Drosophila melanogaster: one gene and its partners. The protein of the gene in region 3 interacts with the protein of the main gene of each other region in a pairwise test. Each region holds a gene or a part of one and is shown on either strand. Other genes may lie near its edges.

What was found.
Region 1: the proteins of CycG (region 3) and Npl4 interact in a two-hybrid assay, tested with the Drosophila melanogaster proteins (2 studies listed by BioGRID).
Region 2: the proteins of CycG (region 3) and wdb interact in a two-hybrid assay, tested with the Drosophila melanogaster proteins (5 studies listed by BioGRID).

Annotation. Positions count from the first base shown.
Region 1 is NT_033777.3:25,619,305-25,625,688, reverse strand, and holds the start of Npl4 (nuclear protein localization 4), read left to right. Parts: upstream 1-1,943; 5' UTR 1,944-2,109; coding exon 2,110-2,211; intron 2,212-2,283; coding exon 2,284-2,517; intron 2,518-2,579; coding exon 2,580-2,737; intron 2,738-2,798; coding exon 2,799-3,327; intron 3,328-3,387; coding exon 3,388-3,586; intron 3,587-3,648; coding exon 3,649-3,809; intron 3,810-3,850; exon of another isoform or gene 3,851-5,167; coding exon of another isoform or gene 5,168-6,384. Other genes in the region: Ssadh (succinic semialdehyde dehydrogenase), read left to right, coding at 1-757; CG5071 (uncharacterized protein), read right to left, coding at 5,168-6,384. UniProt on the Drosophila melanogaster protein: May be part of a complex that binds ubiquitinated proteins and that is necessary for the export of misfolded proteins from the ER to the cytoplasm, where they are degraded by the proteasome.
Region 2 is NT_033777.3:27,577,801-27,583,913, forward strand, and holds the start of wdb (widerborst), read right to left. Parts: upstream 4,442-6,113; 5' UTR 3,789-4,441; intron 3,744-3,788; exon of another isoform or gene 3,344-3,743; intron 2,526-3,343; exon of another isoform or gene 2,357-2,525; intron 1-2,356. Other genes in the region: pins (partner of inscuteable), read left to right, coding at 5,288-6,113.
Region 3 is NT_033777.3:31,606,465-31,614,341, forward strand, and holds the start of CycG (cyclin G), read right to left. Parts: upstream 4,515-7,877; 5' UTR 4,417-4,514; intron 3,352-4,416; exon of another isoform or gene 2,856-3,351; intron 1-2,855. Other genes in the region: Med (medea), read left to right, coding at 5,217-5,280, 5,515-5,783, 5,870-6,224, 6,423-6,644, 6,796-7,410, 7,471-7,753, 7,815-7,877. UniProt on the Drosophila melanogaster protein: Cyclin with roles in multiple processes including transcription, meiotic recombination repair, cell cycle regulation, and promotion of normal growth and metabolism.

The DNA of each region.
Region 1 (6,384 bases), 6.0 Mb from region 3:
GGTGGGCAAACTGCTGTTCCGGAACTCTGCTGATGGCATCAAAAGGATTTGTCTCGAGCTCGGCGGCAATGCTCCGTTCATTGTCTTCGATTCGGCGGACATTGAAAAAGCAGTGGATGGCGCCATGGCCTCGAAGTTTAGGAATTGCGGACAGACCTGCGTCTCCGCCAATAGATTCTTTGTCCAGGACAGCGTCTACGATAAGTTTGTTGGGCAGCTGAAAAAACGCGTGGAAGCTTTGAAGATCGGAGATGGTCAGGGTTGCGATGTGCAAATCGGACCACTGATCAACGAGATGCAGTTCAACAAAGTCAGTGGCTTTGTGGAGGACGCCAGGTCGAAGAAGGCGAACATTATTCTGGGCGGACAGCCGTTGCCCGACAAGGGATCCCTTTTCTACGCACCCACAATTGTCACAGATGTGCCACCCTCGGCGCAACTCTACTCGGAGGAGGTCTTTGGTCCAGTGGTCTCCATCATACGGTTCCGAGACGAAGAAGAAGCGGTAAAGAAGGCAAACGACACCAGGAGAGGCCTGGCCGGTTACTTCTACAGCGAGAATCTGCAGCAGGTGTTCCGGGTGGCCAAGCGACTGGAGGTTGGCATGGTCGGCGTCAACGAAGGCATCATCTCCGCAGCAGAGGCTCCGTTTGGTGGCGTCAAGGAGTCCGGTGTCGGACGGGAGGGTTCCAAACACGGTATCGACGACTATGTGGACATCAAGTACATTTGCATGGGCAACCTCAAGTACGACTGAAGTCCGATGGAGGGATCACCCCCACTGCTTTCATACGCTGTCTTCCACTAGAATGCGATTGGTTTATTGTTGTCTAATTGTAGAATAACACGCCGCTATATTAATAAATGTGCACAAAGTCTACCTGAAGCTAATAGATAATTTCCCTTTTTTAAAATAGCCCGCCTCACCTTTCGATTAATTGGGATTGGTTAACAATCGCTTTAAATTGACAAGAAACCGATCATAGAGACATCGATATCCGGGAGTAATCGATTTTTCTCCACCTCTGGGCAGACTATCGCCATCCCCACAGCTGTGCGACAGAGACAGAGACAAAATTACAATGCCAAATGACAAAATTGTAAGTAAATTGTTGATAAAAAATTAAAAAGTGCATTTAGGGTGGAAACTAAGCGAATGTCTTATTGGTGAAGTGTGTGCAGTGAAATTGGTCAAGTGTTTCCCTATAGCTACCCACCAAAAAAGCCGGCAAACAATGTCGGTTTTCCAGTTCGCTGGCGTTTGTTGTTGTTGCCTAAATGTATGGAAAATATATTTAAAGTGCATTTCAGCCGGCAAAAGCGAAGCATATAATGCATAATGAACCCATTTGGAAGCACTCCCGGCAGTGCAAATCCACTGCAAGTCCCGAAATGCGGCCAAAGGTGCTGGCGGTGAAATTGAATGGTACCATGACTTGTAGATTTTCCACTGAAAGAGTGCAGTCTAGGCGGCAGTAGGACTGAGGGGAGTGTGCGGGGGTTTTGAGACCAAAAACCGATCCAAAAACCAAATAAATTATTAACAATTGTTGGCTGCAATCCGCCTGGGGGAAATGCATTTGAGGATATTTCTGTCTAATAAAGCAATTTCTGGTTGATAGGGTGCTACACTCAGAAAAATGTCTCTGCGTAAAATTAATTTTTGAAATATATGTTTTGTAAAATAAGAAAACTGCACATACCAGTAAATAGCACAACTTAAAATTTTAAATACAAATTTAATATAATTTTTTTGTTTTAAAACTGCATGCAGCTTGTCTTTCAAAATGCTGTTTTATTTTTTATTTAAAGCTCATACAATTACAGATCCGAATTTACATATACAGGCATTAGTTCTCTTTTTAACTATGCACTCATTTTGGCAACGAATTGCATTTGTTTTTAATTGCGATGCCAGATAAATTTCCGCAGTCAAGTTCGCGCCTTCATGACGTACAGTTCGAAACACTAAGCAAAAAGCCCTACAGGCTTTGGTAGCTAATAGCTACACTTGACAATCCCCCTTACCCAATCTACCACCCACCACCGCCCACACAAGAGCCCACCCAACCGCCCATCACCCAGTGACCCGTCCAGAAAGTCCAGAAAATGGCCTGTGCACCACTGCTGCTCGAGCAATTCATCTACAAGAAGCGCAATTTCGCCTACGCCTTTGTGCGCCATCGTCTGTTTGTGTTATGTAAACAATCGGTTGGATCAGAAATTGCCAAATTCACCTGTCCTAGTACTAATTAGAATCTGTTATTCATTTGTTAATTCCAGCTAATTCGCGTTCAGTCGGCGGAGGGCATCAAACGCATCGAGATCTCGCCCAAGTCAAATCTAAAGCATCTGTACGACAGCGTTCAGAATGCCCTGAAGGTGGATGGATTTGGTCTCTTCAAGGAGCGCAACTTCCTCACAGAGCTGCAGGCAAGTGGCTCCCAGCTGGTGGGGACTTCCTTGAGGCATGGCGACATGGTCTACTTAAAACAGATGGCTGGCACATCATCGCGCGTAAGTTGATCATATAGAGCAGAACGATCGGGGACTAACCTGCATTTTTCACCACTTCTCAGCGCACTAGCACCACTGTCCTGGACAGTCAGGCGTTCAAGACTAGCACCATTAGCAATCCAAACAGCGCTCGTCCATCCTTCAATGTGATCGAAGATGACGTGGACCAGGCTCTGAGCAAGGCTGATGGCACCATTAAGCGCGAACGTGATAGCAAGCTGTAGGCCTTGATTATACAATTAATTGTAAAATTAAACTGATCAACCTATAACTTTTTGTAGGTGCCACCACAATGCCAACGGCCGTTGCGTTCACTGCTCCGCACTGGAGCCCTATGATGAGTCCTATCTGAAGGAGCACAATATCAAGCACTTGTCCTTCCACTCGTACATACGAAAGCAGACATCCGGCATGGATCAGGGCAAGTACTTTGTCTTCGACGACATCAATTGCCGCATCAAGCCGGGATGTCGCGAGCATCCACCATGGCCCAAGGGCATCTGCTCCAAGTGCCAGCCGTCGGCCATTACGCTGAATCGTCAGACATATCGCCACGTGGACAACGTCATGTTCGAGAACACTAAGATCGTGGAGCGCTTCCTCAACTACTGGCGCACCACAGGACACCAGCGCATGGGATATCTGTATGGGACGTACGAGCAGCACACTGATGTTCCGTTGGGCATTCGGGCCAAGGTGGCTGCCATTTATGAGCCGCCACAAGAGTCTACCAGGGATTCGATCAATATTCAGCCGGATGAGTTCGCCGACGATGTGGATGCCGTAGCCAGTGCGCTGGGACTGAAGAAGGTTAGTTAGTTATAGACAGTAGCTATGTAGCATTAGTATTGACTTTTGTGACATTTATAGATTGGTTGGATTTTCACTGATCTCATCACGGACGATGCGAGTATCGGCACTGTCAAACAGATCCGTGGCATCGAGTCGCACTTTATTACGGCCCAGGAGTGCATCACAGCTGGCGAGCTGCAGAATCGACATCCAAATCCGTGTAAATATGCCTCCAATGGCGTCTTCGGCTCTAAGTTTGTGACCATTTGTGTAACAGGTAAGATTCACGATTTAATACTGCTTAATGAACTAGTACCAAAATAGTTTTTAACATTACAGGAGATAAAACCAAACAAGTGCACATGGAAGGCTATGCGGTTTCGGCTCAGTGCATGGCTCTGGTGCGCGATAATTGTCTGATACCCACTAAGGATGCGCCCGAGCTGGGCTACGTGCGTGAATCCACGGACAAGCAGTATGTTCCCGACGTTTTCTATAAGGTAAGTTAGAAAGTCTCCCCCCCATTCAAGCAAAATCAGTTATCGGGCAACCTTTATTGAATTACGTTCACACATTTACACAAACAACTTCCATATTTAGACATCAATACGAATGGGATTTGGTTTTTCAGTTTGATACATGCAAAGAAAATTTGGGTGTCAAGAGCAACGCCAATTCAAACATTTGACATCTAGAGGCTTACATTATCTTGGATTACGTTGATTTATTTATGGAACAACTTCATTATTTTCCTTATCCTTCTCGGTTTGTACTTCTCATCATTGCTCTGGGTTCTCCTTCAAACGTTCATTTTATTTTTCCTATACCTAGGACATTCATAAACAATGTTGTTATTTAGCGCATATTCAATTGTTAAAATAACTTTCTGAGCAACTGCCAAGCCAATCACAATTTTCCAGTTATTACCCTTATTTTTTTTTATTTATTTTTATTTTGCCAAACTGTTTTGTTCTATCTAATGCTTAATTGTGATACGCGTTTTTATTATTTTGGAAAATATAAGATTTCGATTTGATTTTTTTCTTTTCAATTGAAGTTAATCGTTGATTGATTGATTACTTAAAATAATTTAAAGTATAATAAGTCTACAAATTTCGTAAAATTGATTTCGATTTGTTCCTAAAAAGATTCTTTGCCTTCCTTTACATCGCTAAGGTCATATTATTACTTGATTCCCTTATTTTTATGGATGGCTATTCTTGGCGTTCATTATTTCATCCATCACAAACATAGCCTTAGTTATGATCACATCAAATGCATATTTAGACACCGAAAACTATCTCGTTTATTTACTTATTGCTAATAGGTTTATTTCATATTAATTATTAACTTGAATTGACATTAATTACATGTCAGCTATGTATTTGGATTTCACCTTACTCGTGGTTTCAAATTTTTAAGTTTTTATTGTAGCTAATTTACTATATCCAGGTATCGTCGTAGCGCTCCAACGCACATTTAGTGTCGTTTTCCTTAAGCTAAACTTATTTAAATACTCAAGGTCTGTTACAATTTCCACCTTGTCCATGAATCTGAAATGTTTATAGATCATTGATAGTCTTTTTTTTATTTAAAATAGCATCCAAAACGTTTCAATAAGTTGTAAATTGTTTATAAAAATTCTTTCTTTCTTTGTTAAAAAAATTGGCTTCTGTTGCTGAAAATGTCGAGTTTCAAGTGTCTTACATTGATCGTTTATTTTTACAAAATTTATACCAAGATTTGCATTCCAAGAATAAAATAGATATTGGGTGGTGTTGTACATTCAAAGTGTTTAGGAGCTTTCGGTTTGATACTGTTCGATAAGTAGGATTAGCTAATGGATCAGTCGGACTTATTATTGGTTTAAATGATATTCCCCACAATTCCGGATAATGCTCCTAAGGGCCGGGCGTCCTAGAGCATTGCCACTGGCCGCAATTCGGTCCACCAGCTCAATGCCCTGGACAATGAATCCGAAAATGGCGGTGAAGGATCGCATCTCGTTTAGCACCAGCCGAAATTGGCTGCCCACAAATCCACTTCTGTCCTGTCGCCGCTGTCCCCTGCGCATACCAACCGTTCCCCGATGTGCCGGCAATCCCGTTTCGTCTGGCAAAAAGTATCTGCTCTCAAAGGCCGAGTGCCCACCGCGTCCGTTCTGCGATTCAAAGTCGCCGGTGATGATGCTCTCGCCTCCCCAGGCCTGAAAGACAGTGCAGCCACGATAGCCATAGCCCCGCTCGTGCCGCACCAGCGCCCCAAAGTTGTCCGCCATCCGGGGAGCAGCATCAGATCGCACCTCGATTAGGACCCGTCCGGCCAGTTCTCCTGCTATTTCCATGTCCAGAAAGTAGATGGGGTAACAGTGAACGATGGGCTGACGCACAATGCTTACCGATGAACTCGTACCGCCATCCTGTCGATGATGATCATGGCTTTGTTGACCAATTAGCTGCGGCTCCACCGAGTTGACGAGAATCGCATCTGGCTGGTAAATTGAGTGGGTAAGCTGGTGTACTTGCTGCTGCTGCTGCTGCTGTTCCTGTTGCACTTGCTGCGGCTGCTGTTGCAACTGGCGCACCAATTCTCGAAGTCCATATTCCGTGTCTAGAGCAATATAATTGCTTTGGCTGTTTGTACTGCTGCTGCTGTTCGGCGACGAGGAGGATTCGTGTGAACCATCATACGGAGGTTGACTGAGCGTTCGAAACTGCTCGAGTTCGATCTGCTGCACATAATCCAGAAGTTCCACCTCCCGCAGGCTATTATTGAAATGCGGAGGCACCACAGCTCGCCGCGGTTCCGGCAGTAATTCTGGATCCGGTGTCAGATTCCTGTGGCGTGGAGGAATCATTTCGCGCTGCATCTCGCACCAGTAGGCGTACACACAGTAGTTGGTGAGGATGAGCGCCTGCGGTGGCCCCACATTGGCGGGAATAGCACCGGGCCGACGATGACTGCGTAGCCGTGCGATCCTGTTATTCAGAGTCTCAAAGTCCAGGACCTGCATCCCGTTCTCCTGAATTGCGGCTTGCATTCGACATTGAAAGTGCACCTGGTCCAACTGGCGCT
Region 2 (6,113 bases), 4.0 Mb from region 3:
CGCAGAGAAGCCAGCGTCGTTCCAAAGATACATATTTTTACTCGATGCATGGAAAGCAATTCGATACGGAACAAAAGATTTGTTTACAGCCCACCGGCTAAAGTGAATCTGTTCGCATTCAAATGGAGTTGAAAGAAATATGGCTTTCGGATTTATTTTGGGCAGTCGAAATGAGGTAAACAAGATGATGGTGGTAGTGAAGTTTCTCTGGGGAATACAAAGTAATATCCACATTGGCTAGTAAAATCTTCACATTTTGATGCAAAGTGATGAAAATGGTTCTTTGGAAAACAAAAACCAAAGATGGAAAACATTTATCGCATTTCAGAGATAGCAGAAACCAGTTGCGCAATCAGAATCTTGTTGTATCTCAGGTACTTTTTTCCTCCGTGTGAAATTTGGGAAAATGGCTCAGCAATCCGTACATAACGAGGTGAGGAAAATGTGAGGGAAAACAGCGCAGTGAGGTCAGTTATGTCAAAACAGACAGCCAGCGATGTGCAGAAGCGAGTGGAGTGGCCATCAGGAGGTGGCCAAGCCTCAGCGGGCATAAGGGAAATTCGCGTAGAAAGAGTCAACTTATGGCCAGGCCAAAAGGCAAATTGCCTCTGAGCACGCTCTTTAACTTTGTTGGCCAGGCTGTAAAGTTAAAGCCGCCAGCGAGATGTGCGTTTGGCTTTCAGCGTTTAGCGCCGACAAAAAGGTGAACAGTCGCAAAGCAGGTCGTACGTACATGGCACATAGTAATGTCCCAGAGACTTGGTAATTTTATAATAGAGCTCTCGTCTTTCACCCGACACTGGGAGCCCACAAGGAGGAGCGCTTCATATGCGCACATTCGTATGCGGAGGCATTTTATGGCAGCATTACGTTCCCCCTCTTCCCCTTTACAGTGAAAACACAATAAGTGAGCTCACAAATTGTTGCACACACTGGCTGGCATGACACTTATTTGGGTTGACTACCTCGGTTAACTCGTTAAAATTGCTCAGAAGCTAAAACTCTCCAGGAAAATGCACTAGAAAATGTCTTAGCGAGAAGTCGGTCATCGGGAAAATGGTTCATTGCCGGCCAAATATAGACAAATCGGTGGAAAAATTTCAGAATTGGGAAGAAACTTTGCTCTTATAGATTAAGCGGGTCATTAAATCTTATAGTTTATAGTTCGTCGGTTGTTGCCAATTTGAATTCAAACAACGAAATTGGCAGCGAAACGCCCTGGCCACAACAACATAAATAACAATAGGGATGCTAAAAAAAAATGTTGTTATATCTACAGCAAGTCAGTTTGCAACCTGGTATTGATTTATAGGGTTTTCCCCTCTCAACTTTTAATTACTTTTGCGCACTGTTATTTGAAGAGGAGTTGCTTCTAGACTGCATCCTGCAAGCGCTAGAAATCCGTGACGTCAAAGCCAAGTTAACGGGCAAATAGACAGTGGGCCAGTTGACACAAACCCGCTTGGATGAACAATAAAAAGCGATTGTCAGCTAGAAACTGGAAATCAAATCGCTGAAAATTTAAGTGATCTTTTTTTCATCGCCACTTAATTGCACCCTAGTCACGTTCGGTTTGGGAACTTTACGCTGGGCGTGCTTGGGTTGCCTTGTGGATTACATGGATTATGGATTATAATTAAAGTGATCAGTGCGGCGATATATAATGGCTTAATTTCAGGGCAAATCGAGGGCCTTGTCACCGCGATGACAGCTACAGCTACATATATCTATATAGAGCTAAAGTTGTTCTGCCCCTTCGAATTGATTTACCATTTTGACACATTTATGATAATTTCGAGTAGGCTCGACGAATTTCGTGTGTCCCCACACGTATATATCAATTGGAACTTGTTAATTTGCCGAGCAGGTTCTGCCCCCCCCCCCCCCACTGACCCACCCCCTCAAGCAATCACTCAATCAATTAGAACCAGTTATTTGCCTGACTTTCAATCGGTGGTTATGGCTTAACCCCTTGGCCACATTTATTTAATTCGTTAAGACATTTCATATTGAGGTGACGTTGGCAATTGGCATTATGTTTGATTTAACACATTTAACAATTTGATGTGCTATAGTATATATAAATTGATATTTAAGTTTACGTGTTTCGTGGATAATAATAACTATTAATTAAATAAGAAAGGGGTAATGATATTCTATTGTATTGATGGACTTCCTTCCTTCAAACCCCTGTTTTTCTGAGCATTTTGAATTTGAATTTCTAGTAGTTTCATTTATGGCACATTAGTTATCCAAGGGTTAGGCATGGAACGGAAATGGAGCGAGCTTTTAGCCCAAAATGGCATCGATTTGAATCAAATTCGCTGTGGGCCAACTTCCGTTGGTCTTGGCATACCTTTCTCGATTTCAGAGTTTGTAATTCTCGTCTGCTCGATATCTCAGTTTTTTCAGTTTCAGTTTTGGTTTTCGGTTTCGGCTCTCGCGTTTGCCTACGTCACGGAGATGCTTTTTCTCGTTTTATCTTTGCTTTTGGCTGGCGGTTTAGCGCTGCTTGCTGGTTTTCACTGTGGATGTGTGTATAGCAGTTGGCATAATTGAATTAGAACTGTAGTTCACGAGAGAATTTTGCACAACGCATCGCGCGGGTGGAGGGGGTTGTTCGAATGGGAGGGGGGGGGGGGGCTGTGTTGTCCAAGTGGGGTCAACACATGTAAATGCGGTGTCAAAGCAAAATACACAAAGATCTTTAATGGCGAACGTGTGTGAGTGAGTGGGGCGCACTTTGGGGAATGGGAGAAGCGTAAGAATGTGAATGGGTAGAGAGAGAGGATGGGAAGATGAGTAAAAGGTGAGAGAGCGCAGCTGTTTTGATGGGGCTCTTTTCGCTGTTGCCTTTGCTCTATCTTTTGCTTCACTTCGGTTTGTTGATTCCTTTCATCTATTTTGCCTTTTTCCTCATTTAGGTAAGAGGAGTAAGATTAGGTAACTTGTGTCTATATGAACATAATTCTTAACACATTTTACTGCTTGACACACACACTTATCATAAATATGTATGTTTCAAACACACACACAGGCACACACACTCGGTGCGAGAGAGACACACACACGCACGCGGCACAAAATCGATATTCTAAAAATAATATAAGTAAAAAATATATATGCTCATACGAATTCTAACCGATTGCGTGCGTGTATTTGTGTGTGCGTGTGTGTGTGCGGGCTGGCTGGATTGCGAGCGTAATTACATATTTATTTATTTATTAAAACTTTTGAAACACCGAATTGCGTCTGGGGATTTAGCCGCTTACTGCGCACTTGAAAAATTTGCATTCGCCTTGGAAATTTGGCTTTAATTTTGCACTCGGCTTTGTTTAGTTGCCTTTTATTTCTCCTTCTTTATTCGGGCTTGGAATTTTCGCTGCAGAATTTATTAAAAACCGACTGCGTATGTGTGTATATAAAAGATTTCTATATCTTTTGCAACCGACGACGAAGGCGGCATACGGCAACTGTGGCGATATTTTTTTCCTTCGTCCGACTCTCGCGCTCTCTTTTCGTTTTCGGCTTGCTCTCTCTGGCACATGGGTATATACTATACGCGAGAGGGAGCAGGCACACACAAACGAAAAGCCTGCCTCCAATTGATTAGTATTAGTACTTCGAATAGTATTACTATTGTTATTGTTTTCATCTAGCTGACTTTCAATTGTTTGGTGCTGATATTTAGCTAGATTCCCCAGGTGCGATTACTCATTTGGCTTTTGTTTCGAGACCACTGTGCCAGATTTCTGGGTGAGAGCGTGGTGAGTTTCGTTTCAACTCACCACAGAAACTGTTGTTGCGCGTCGCGCTCTCTATTTAGGCGGCTCTCTCCCACACACGGTCACACTACAGTCCCAAAAATGAATGAAAATACCACAAAATACCATCCAACGCACGGGCACACCGGCGAACTGAAAGACGCCGCTGCTTTCAAGTTTTTCTCCCGTTTTTATTTCCTATCGAGGGCGATAACCAAACAAGGCTATCGTTATCGACCTCTCGCTCGCTCTGTATCCCTCCTTCCCTGTCGCACTCGCTCTCCTTTTGTGTGGCTAATTTTTTCCTTTTAGTCCTTTTTTCGGTTGCCTTCGTGCAGAAATTCCCTGCTTTATGTAATTTAGAACACAATGTTTGCGTTGCACTGTTGGCCGACTGCAGCTGAAAACCGCACAAAAAAAGCGACGCACACACACACCTTCGAGCATCCGGACTTCCAATTTGCACTGCTTTTCTAACAGTCTATCGCGCACGCACTGCCACAATTTCACCCGCTTATCGCGCCGCAATATGGGACGTTCGCTTTTCAATCGATTTTGGTAACCGGCAGGTGCGCTTTATGCGAGAATTACGAATTTTCTCCAGCGGCAACTAGAATCGTTCACACAGACACCGTAGAAGTGACGCCATCTTTGAAGCGATTAGTGTTGCAAAGCGCGTCTGCAAAAGTGCTGGCTACCAACTACGGTTGATAGGGATGAGGGCTATGGCTTGTTGACCGAAAATGATAAATGTTAACTATGCCAATATATTTTAGATTTTACTAATACGTTACAAAAATAAGAAAAGACTATGATAAAATTGTGTTTTAGCTTGGCTCATAAGTATTGATCCTTTATAAGCTATGGTCTTGCAGTGGCTAACATTTCTCAAATTAGGGCAACCATCTGATAAGATTTCTAATTCGAATTCTAATAAATGAATTTAAACTGCTTTTTCTTAAAGTTAAAAAAAAATTAGTTTTAAATCAAACGGCATGCATACATTAACCATCAAACAATGTAATTATATATATAATATTACCAATTGGGCTACTAAATATTGCTGATATGTAAGCTATGGTCATGAGGTAAAGGCATATTATTTATATAATTTTCATAGTATCTTTGTTGTAGGGGAAAAATAACAAGTAATTTAAAATTGTTCAATTGACTTAAAACAAAATATAACAGATATTATTTTTAAATCCAACGACATACCATATAAAGTTGGTATTTCTTTCTAATCTGCTTGGTATTCTCATCGACCCCAATCGGTCACACTGGTCGTGAATCAGAAACGCACTAATTAGTCAAAAAAACGGTACAAAAGATCGCTTAATTGCTGAAATTTCACCTGTCGCAGTTAAGTTTACCCACCAGCAGTTCAAAACCAGCCAGAGGCTAGCTAAAAACCCCAAAGATCGACCCCAAAACATCGCCGCAAAGTGGACAACTCCCAGTTTTCAGAGCACCTGCCCCTCAAAAAGGAGCATCGCGACAAAAAGGCGAGACTTCGCAGCAGAATGTCCTCGCTCTCTGCGTCCGCGGAGAATGTGTCCAGTTTGGGACTGGGATCGGGCGGAGGAGGAACTACTTCCCACGACGGCAACTCCCAGCAGGGTTCCGGATCCGACGGAGGATCCAGTATGTGCCTGGAACTGGCCCTCGAGGGTGAACGCCTCTGCAAGGCGGGTGACTGCCGGGCGGGCGTGGCCTTCTTCCAGGCGGCCATTCAGGCCGGAACCGAGGATCTTCGCACTCTGTCCGCCATCTACTCCCAGCTGGGCAACGCCTACTTCTACCTAGGCGACTACAACAAGGCGATGCAGTACCACAAACACGATCTTACGCTGGCCAAGAGCATGAACGACCGACTGGGCGAGGCCAAGTCCTCTGGCAATCTGGGCAACACCCTCAAGGTAATGGGTCGCTTCGACGAGGCGGCCATCTGTTGCGAGAGGCACCTAACGCTGGCCAGGCAGCTGGGAGATCGTCTGTCCGAGGGACGCGCTCTTTACAACCTAGGAAATGTCTACCACGCCAAGGGCAAGCACTTGGGTCAGAGAAACCCTGGAAAGTTCGGCGACGATGTCAAGGAGGCGCTCACCCGTGCCGTGGAGTTTTACCAGGAGAATCTGAAGCTCATGCGGGATCTGGGTGATCGTGGTGCTCAAGGTCGAGCTTGTGGTAATCTGGGAAATACCTACTACCTACTAGGCGATTTCCAAGCGGCCATTGAGCATCATCAGGAGCGACTGCGCATTGCCAGAGAGTTTGGTGATCGCGCGGCTGAGCGAAGGGCCAACAGTAATCTTGGCAACTCGCACATATTCCTGGGACAATTCGAGG
Region 3 (7,877 bases):
TCCACCGAGCAACCCCAAAAGCGTTCAAATCCACCCTGCTGACAGACAGGCCAGAGCTCGGAATTTGAATTTCCCAGATGACCCAGCACAAGTGGCGGGGAAATTAAATGAATAGATCTTGCAGCAGCTGCATTGGCATGTGCTGCAAAAGATACGAAAGATACACTAACGAACAAAGAAAAGAAAAGAAAAGACCTCGAAAGAAAAAAAGAAAAAGATCATTGCACTGGGGTTGGCTGGATTTGGAAATAGTGCCACCACCACATCTATCAGGCGATCGACCTTTGCCAAGCCTGTTTTCCAGTGCCCTCTCGTAGCTTCCTTGGTTTTGGAATCAATGTTTTCGTCGGCTATCTGCCAATGGACTAGCGATTTGCACCCGCGCACTGACCATTATCAACGGAAATGCAGTACAAGAATTTCTCTGACGTGAAGCGAACGTGCCCAAAGTCGGAGTCACTGCAGCGTCGGCTGAGCGTCTGAGGAGCGTGCCCAAAAGGAATGATAAGCGAGTGCTAATCGCGGTCAACGCAGTCGTAGTTCAAAGTCCCAAAATAACAAAGGGACGGGGACGCTAGTTGGTTTTTTGAATATATATGATCGAACACAAAGGCAGTGGTCTAATGATTCATTCTCCTGAAGAGCTGGGTTACCATGCTATCAGAAATTGCATTTGTTTGGGTACTTTTAGAAATATTCGTGTATCCAAGTGCAAGAGGATCCCTCGACCAAGTAAATAGCAAAGCTCATGTTCCGCAGGAAATTTTCCAGGCGTAATTGGAGAAAATTTCCTCCCTATAGAGGCTTCTATGTTTATCGGCGTAATTGCTGGCCTCAAGTTATCGCATGGGCTTAATTACGACTGTAGGCTGTATTCCCTGTACACGCGTTCTATATCCAAGGTTCCTTTGGCTGACATTTAGATAACTGGCTGGTGGTACACTGCAATCCCATTGATGACTTATAGACCGGGATTCGCTTATCGGAGAAGAGGCGGACGTTTCGTAACATTCCATGACGTAAGTACATGGGTTCGATAGATAAAGCGGCTCGATCTTATCGCATTTGTCACAAAACCCATAGAAATGCCTCCAGAGGAGAGCAGCTGCAGTGCAAATAGAGGGAAAGGGCAGCTGCAGTCGGGACCATGGGATTTATTTCGTCACCTTTCGTGAAATTCAATTAGAAAGGGGTGGGACTCGAAAAGTCGCCTGGCACGAGCTGGAAATGGGGGGAAAGTCGAAGGGAAGGGGGTTGAAATCGGTTCAGTTGAGTGCTTTTTCTGGGTTTTCTGGCTTTGAATCTCCGGGAATGGGAATCGTGGTATATATGTACATATGGCTTTTTGGGATGGTCAGCTGTCTCTCAAGTGTTGGCATTGAATTTCACTTTGGGCCGTCTGTCGTTTTGCAGACACACGAATTTCATGGCATACTGAAATCGAAGAAAACAGGTAGAAAGCAGACGATATCTGCTAAAAAGGCGCCACCCTAACCACAAGTGGAAGCCAAATAGATGTCAGCTGGATTTCGGGTTATTTAGCCTTAAACTAATCATTTTGGTTCAATGGCTTTAGGGGAATATATAAACGGGAATTGTAAGTTAATCTCTTTATTCCAAAAGCGACTTACTTAGTAGACGTGACCCAAATAGTTGGACATTGCCCACCTAAGGGTTAATGATGAATTCTCCCCTTTTCACACCCGTTCCCATCTCTATTCATTCCACAAAGAAGGTAGGCAGAGAATAGAAGAGACCTTTTTACATGTAAACAAGTGTGGAGAGGAATAAATAAAACAACGGTACAGCAACACCCACACACCCACACCAACCCAACTGTTTCATTAGTATGCGTGCGTGGGGTCGTTTTATGCGTTGTATTTATATTATTTTGGAGGCTATGGAAAATATGAAAATCAACAAATTAAGCAATTCTGCGCGACTTTGCGACTGCGCAACAAATTGAAATCAACAAATATGACCCAGAAAACAAAGTAAATGCGCTGAAGGTGAAATCAGGAGAAACGGGGTACAAAACGGAATGTAATAGCAGTTGTTACTTGTGTTTTCCAGAAACAAGTTGCTTCCTAAAATGAGCAAAAGTGTTTTTGAAACGAAAACAAGTAGTTTTATCCGTCGCACATATTTTATTTTTGGCTGACGCAATTCCAAGCCAGAGCACGCACACTCCCAAACCAATCAAGTTGCTGTGCTGGTGTGAGTGTGTGTATGAGGTAAAAATCCGAATGGGAACAACATACACACATACAAAGTCTTTGTTTGCAGCTCGCGTGTGTGTACGATGGCAAGGGAACTTTGGAAGCGGAACACACAAATTGTGGGGAGAACAACAAAGGAAAAGGGGAATATGAAGTAAAACAATTGACGCAAATTGGAAATAAAACAGATATGCAAATGGGGGAAGGCAATAGGAATGGGTTTTCTAGGCGAATAAGGCGGTGCCAAGGAAACAAAGGCGTACATTAGTCTCATTACATATGTATGTTGTACAGCTTGCATAAAAAGCACAGCCCCTCAAACACACATACCACTGCAAGCAGCATAGTTCCTCGCCCACCCCTCGTTCGACCCTCTCGCTCACTCTGTAAGCAACGACCTACGAATAGCGGACCCCAAATCCACTCTCTCGCTTACACACACAAACACCAGACAAACAGCTGTGAAACAAATGGAAGCGAAACAAACACGTAAATGAACGAATTTTGTATGTATGCCTAATATAATTTCTTTTTTCCTACAAACAAAATCATCTGATAGATGAAGAAAAAAACCTTGATTCTCTTTTTGCATTTTATCGACTTTTCCACTCTTAAATAAATTTAGCATTTTCTTACGTTTTTACAGCCATTTTGTTGTTTTGTGTTGCGCAGGAATGTTGAGATGAACTTTGTTTAGTTGTGAATTTTTGCTTCTATTGCACTCGAAAATAAGTGAATAAATTGGCTGGCAGCTTTACGCTTATTCAATTGCGTCAGATAGTTAGCTATAAAACCTTGTCGTTGGCCATTTAAGCTAGTTGTTAACTAATTTGTACTGCGTTTGTATCACAATTGGAACTCTGTTTATTAGGCTGGCATTTTATCCTCAATTTTTCCCGTCTGCGGATCGATTTTTCCCACACACACTGGGCTGAAGGTGCTTGGGACTTTTCTCCATCAGCTGTGCATTTTCCTCCTGCTGATTTTTTTTAGTTCTGCTTTAGCAAAGCTTTGTACGTTTGCACTTGGTCCTTTTCAATTTCTATTTTCTATTCCTAAGCAAACAAACACATTCAAACACTCGCGCTCGCAAAAACGGTACTTCTCCGCTTTGTTGTTTTTTTACGAATGAAGAATATTGTGAGCGACCAGTGTTACCAGTAGGCCTACAAGTTCCACAGATTTGGTGCGAACTGAAATTTGTACTATAAAATACCCTAAGCCAGCGGAAGCGATAGTCCCTCACTATCGATGTGTATGTTATTCGATTCTCTCTGTTAACTAACATTTCGCTGTAATGTTATCGAACCCTAATAAGCCCGCAATAATTCTTTTTTGATGTCGAACAATTTTGAACACCGAACTCAAATAAGCCCGCAATAATTCTTTTTGGTGTCGAACAATTTTCAACACCGTAAGCCTGATAGGGATTAAATAATAACTTTATGCTTCTGAATGCGGGATGTAGACAATTTTATGACAAGTGATTTAATTAGTTAGGGAATTAAAAAATATGAGGGCAACAAATCCTCGAAGTTAAATTGAGTTCCCAAATTACTATTACAAATGGAAGCTTCTGTTTTGGCAGGGAATCGCAAACTTCCCACACATAATTTCACAATCAATGTCATTGCCAAAATATAAACATATTTACATATGTACGCCGCAAATCGAAATTCCGTTCAGATAAGCGTTGAAATTACGCATTTTGATAAGATATTTTGAAGATGGAAACTACGCAGCAAACTGTTTTACAAAAGCCGGAGAAATGCATTTCCGGCGAAAAGGAAATTCGTTACTGTTGCCAAGTGAACATTTTCAAGAGAAGAGGGGAAGGGGGTGGTCTATTTCAGGCCCCACTACACACACATGCATATTTCTAGAAACAACCTGTCACACAAACGACTCATCAACGGCAATTTTTTATGAATGAATTTTAGCAATTAAAGCAATGGAAAGAAACTTTTCAATGGGAATGCGAAAACATCAATTAACTTGTTGCACAAGATGTTCAGCCTTCGATTTTCCCCAATCTCAACGATAAGAAACTTTCCTCAATTTCGTCACACACACACACACATGCGAATGGGAAAAAACGCGTGGCGATTGATTTTCGGCCTTTCAAAAAGTTCGTTTTACGCACTGAACAGCCCGCGAAATGAGTGTAAGTCGGTGTAACAAATCTCATGGCACTTACCCGGATGCCTCTGCGTTTTGATCAGTATCTGCTTTTCTTGCTTCTTATTTCCAAAAAATATAAACTTATTCTCAAATCAAATCTTCGAGAACTGACCAAACTAGGTGTTTGTAAAAATCCAAGGTAGGTATTTCGCGCTTTGCCCATCTGGCAACGCCCGCCCATGTTGTATCGCGAAACGGTCACTCTGCACAGCCGCAACAAAATAAAAAAGGAAAAAAAGGCAAATTGGCTGGAAAACTGGATTTCGTCGGGCGGAAAATTGTACTTTCGAGTTTCCCAAGCAGCCAATTAAGTGCAAACTATGAAATTCCACGAAAAACAGTAAAAGCCAGTCTCTACCAAGGATTTGAGCAGGAAACTTCTCGCTGGGCGTGTGTGTGTGCAGTGCGTGTGCCAGTGTGCGTAAAGAAGGAGGTGGAGAAGACGAAGGAGAGGAGAGTTTTCGCAGGGAAATTACGCCAACTTTGTGGGAGTTCAAGTCGAGTTAGTTCAGCGCGCGCGTGTGTGTGTGTATGCGTGTGTGCAACACCCCCCAAGCCCACTCACACAAAGCCATCCAGCCGCCGTTTGTTTTGTGCTCACATTCGCGTGCCGCCTTTGTTTGGCTTTTCTTTGGCCAGTGATTCTACGCCTTGTTTTTGCCCGCCGCCGGCTTCGATTACGCCTGCTCCAGCCACCGTACGATCCCCACTCCGCTCTCCGCCGCTCACGATCCCCATTCCGGATCCGGATCCAGCAACAACGCCGCCGTGGATGCCCATGCTCGCACTCTGGGCTCGCTCGCCCAGGACTTTGGCATGGGCGGCGGCTCGGGGGCGTGTCCGCCCGCCCACATGTACGGCGCCGTAGCCCCGCAGGACAGTAAGTGAAGTTCTCTAGAGGAGCAGCAGTCATAGTGAACTCCTTTTCGAGTTGTTATTCTAAAATCGATTTGTGGCCAAGTATTGTGGACAATCCTAAATCTTACCGTAGCATTATTATTTACTGTTGATAAACTTGAAACTCTTTGAAATTTAAAATGAAATTGGATTGAGCTGTACAGTATCCGTTGATCTACTAAAAAAACTCAGAGCTAATTACCCCCACCATCTGCAGTAATTGTCCGGGACATGGTGCAAATGCCGCCGCCGCCCTCGAACGCCCCCACATCGGCGGACGCCTGTCTGAGCATCGTCCACTCGCTGATGTGCCATCGGCAGGGCGGCGAAAGCGAGGGATTTGCCAAGCGAGCCATCGAGTCGCTGGTCAAAAAGCTCAAGGAGAAGCGCGACGAACTGGACTCCTTGATCACGGCCATCACCACGAACGGAGCCCATCCCAGCAAGTGCGTGACCATACAGCGCACCCTCGATGGTCGCTTGCAGGTAGGTTGAGTCTCTCAGACTTTCTGCATCGAATTTGATAATGTGTATAAGCAATGAACTTACCACTTTACCATTCTCTATCGAAGGTTGCTGGACGCAAGGGTTTTCCGCACGTCATATACGCCCGGATTTGGCGCTGGCCTGACCTGCACAAGAACGAGCTGAAGCACGTCAAGTACTGCGCCTTCGCCTTCGATCTCAAGTGCGACTCGGTGTGCGTGAATCCCTACCACTACGAGCGCGTCGTCTCTCCGGGCATCGATCTGTCCGGCCTGAGTCTGCAGTCGGGCCCCAGTCGCCTGGTGAAGGACGAATACTCAGCGGGTCCGCTGGTGGGCAGCATGGACATCGATGGCAACGACATCGGCACCATACAGCACCATCCCACGCAAATGGTGGGGCCCGGCGGCTACGGATATCCACAGGGTCCCTCTGAATATGGTAAGACTACAGTATTGACATTAATTCGATATAGTTTGAGTTTTCGATACTGGATTTCTTGATAATTTTTCTATATTATTTATAATTTTAAACTGAATTGTTCATTTTACTTAATTGTTTACATTCGTTTATTTCTTTGGTTTTAATAATTTATTTATATTTGTTTCCTTTTGGCGATTTTATGTTGACTTTGCGTAGTTGGCGATGCCAATCCCATGAGTGCAATGTTTCCCACCGGGCGCACAATACCAAAAATCGAGCCCCAGGATGGAGTTGCTGGGTCGCGTGGCTCTTGGATGGTACCGCCTCCCCCCCGGCTGGGTCAGCCCCCGCAGCAACAACAGCAGCAGCCGCAGCAGCAAACCCCGCAACCTACACAGCAGCAGCAGGCACAATCGCAGGCAGCTGCTCACTCACTCCGTAAGGATATGGCCTTGATTATAGTTGAAGCTTCGAAAATCGAATTTTAATTACAATTTTTCTCATATGTTGGATTTTAAACTATTATAATATTTGTCTTATTAACAATTAGTTGAATACACATTAATCTTTTCCCAAAATCAACTTTCAGCTGTGCCTCACGGTATGCCGGGCATGCCTGGTCCAATGAATCCCGGTCCCGTGATGGCACCCCCACCCCCGCCGCAGCAGGCTCAGAATCCCCAGGGCAATGGGGTGCACCATACCCAGGCCAATTCGCCCACAGATCCCGCCTCCGCACTGGCCATGCAACAACAGCAGCAGCAGCAGCAGCAGCAACAACAACAGCAGCAGCAGCAACAGCAGCAATCAGGCGGTGTGCCCAATGGATCAGTTAATGCCGGCGGTGGAGCAGCAGCTGGAGGGCAGTACTATGGACAGCCACCTCCTGTTAGTCAGATGCAAGGTGCCGGTGGGGGTGGCACCTCGGTGGCCCCGTCCGTCCACGCCCAGCAAAACGGCTACGTGTCGCAGCCAGGATCCGCGGGCAGTGCTCCCGTTGGAGGTGGTGGCGTCTTTGGCACAGCCCAACCCACACCACAGCAGCCGCAGCAGCCACCGACCGGTGTGCAGGCCAATACTGGGTCTGCTGGGGCTCAGGCTGGCGCCGGAGGCGGTGCGGCTGGCACCTGGACAGGGCCCAACACCCTCACCTACACGCAGTCTATGCAACCACCAGATCCGCGCTCTCTACCCGGGGGCTTCTGTAAGTCTAGGCTATGTAGCCCACTGTGCGACTTTGTAATCCCTGTCCTTCATTTTCCAGGGAATTCGTCGCTTTCGGGTGACCTCGGCTCCCCGCAACAGACGCCTCCGCAGCAGCAACAACAACAGCAGCAACCACGCCTCCTGTCTCGCCAACCGCCGCCGGAATACTGGTGCTCCATCGCATACTTCGAGTTGGACACGCAAGTGGGCGAGACCTTCAAGGTGCCGTCAGCGAAACCGAACGTAATCATCGACGGCTATGTGGATCCCTCTGGAGGCAATCGATTCTGTCTGGGCGCCTTGAGCAATGTTCATCGCACTGAACAATCGGAACGGGCCAGGTGAGTACATCCCCCTGGGAGTAACTTGCAGAGCAGGGATTAATTACCAAGTTCCATGCAGGCTCCACATCGGCAAGGGCGTGCAATTGGATCTGCGTGGGGAGGGCGACGTCTGGCTGCGCTG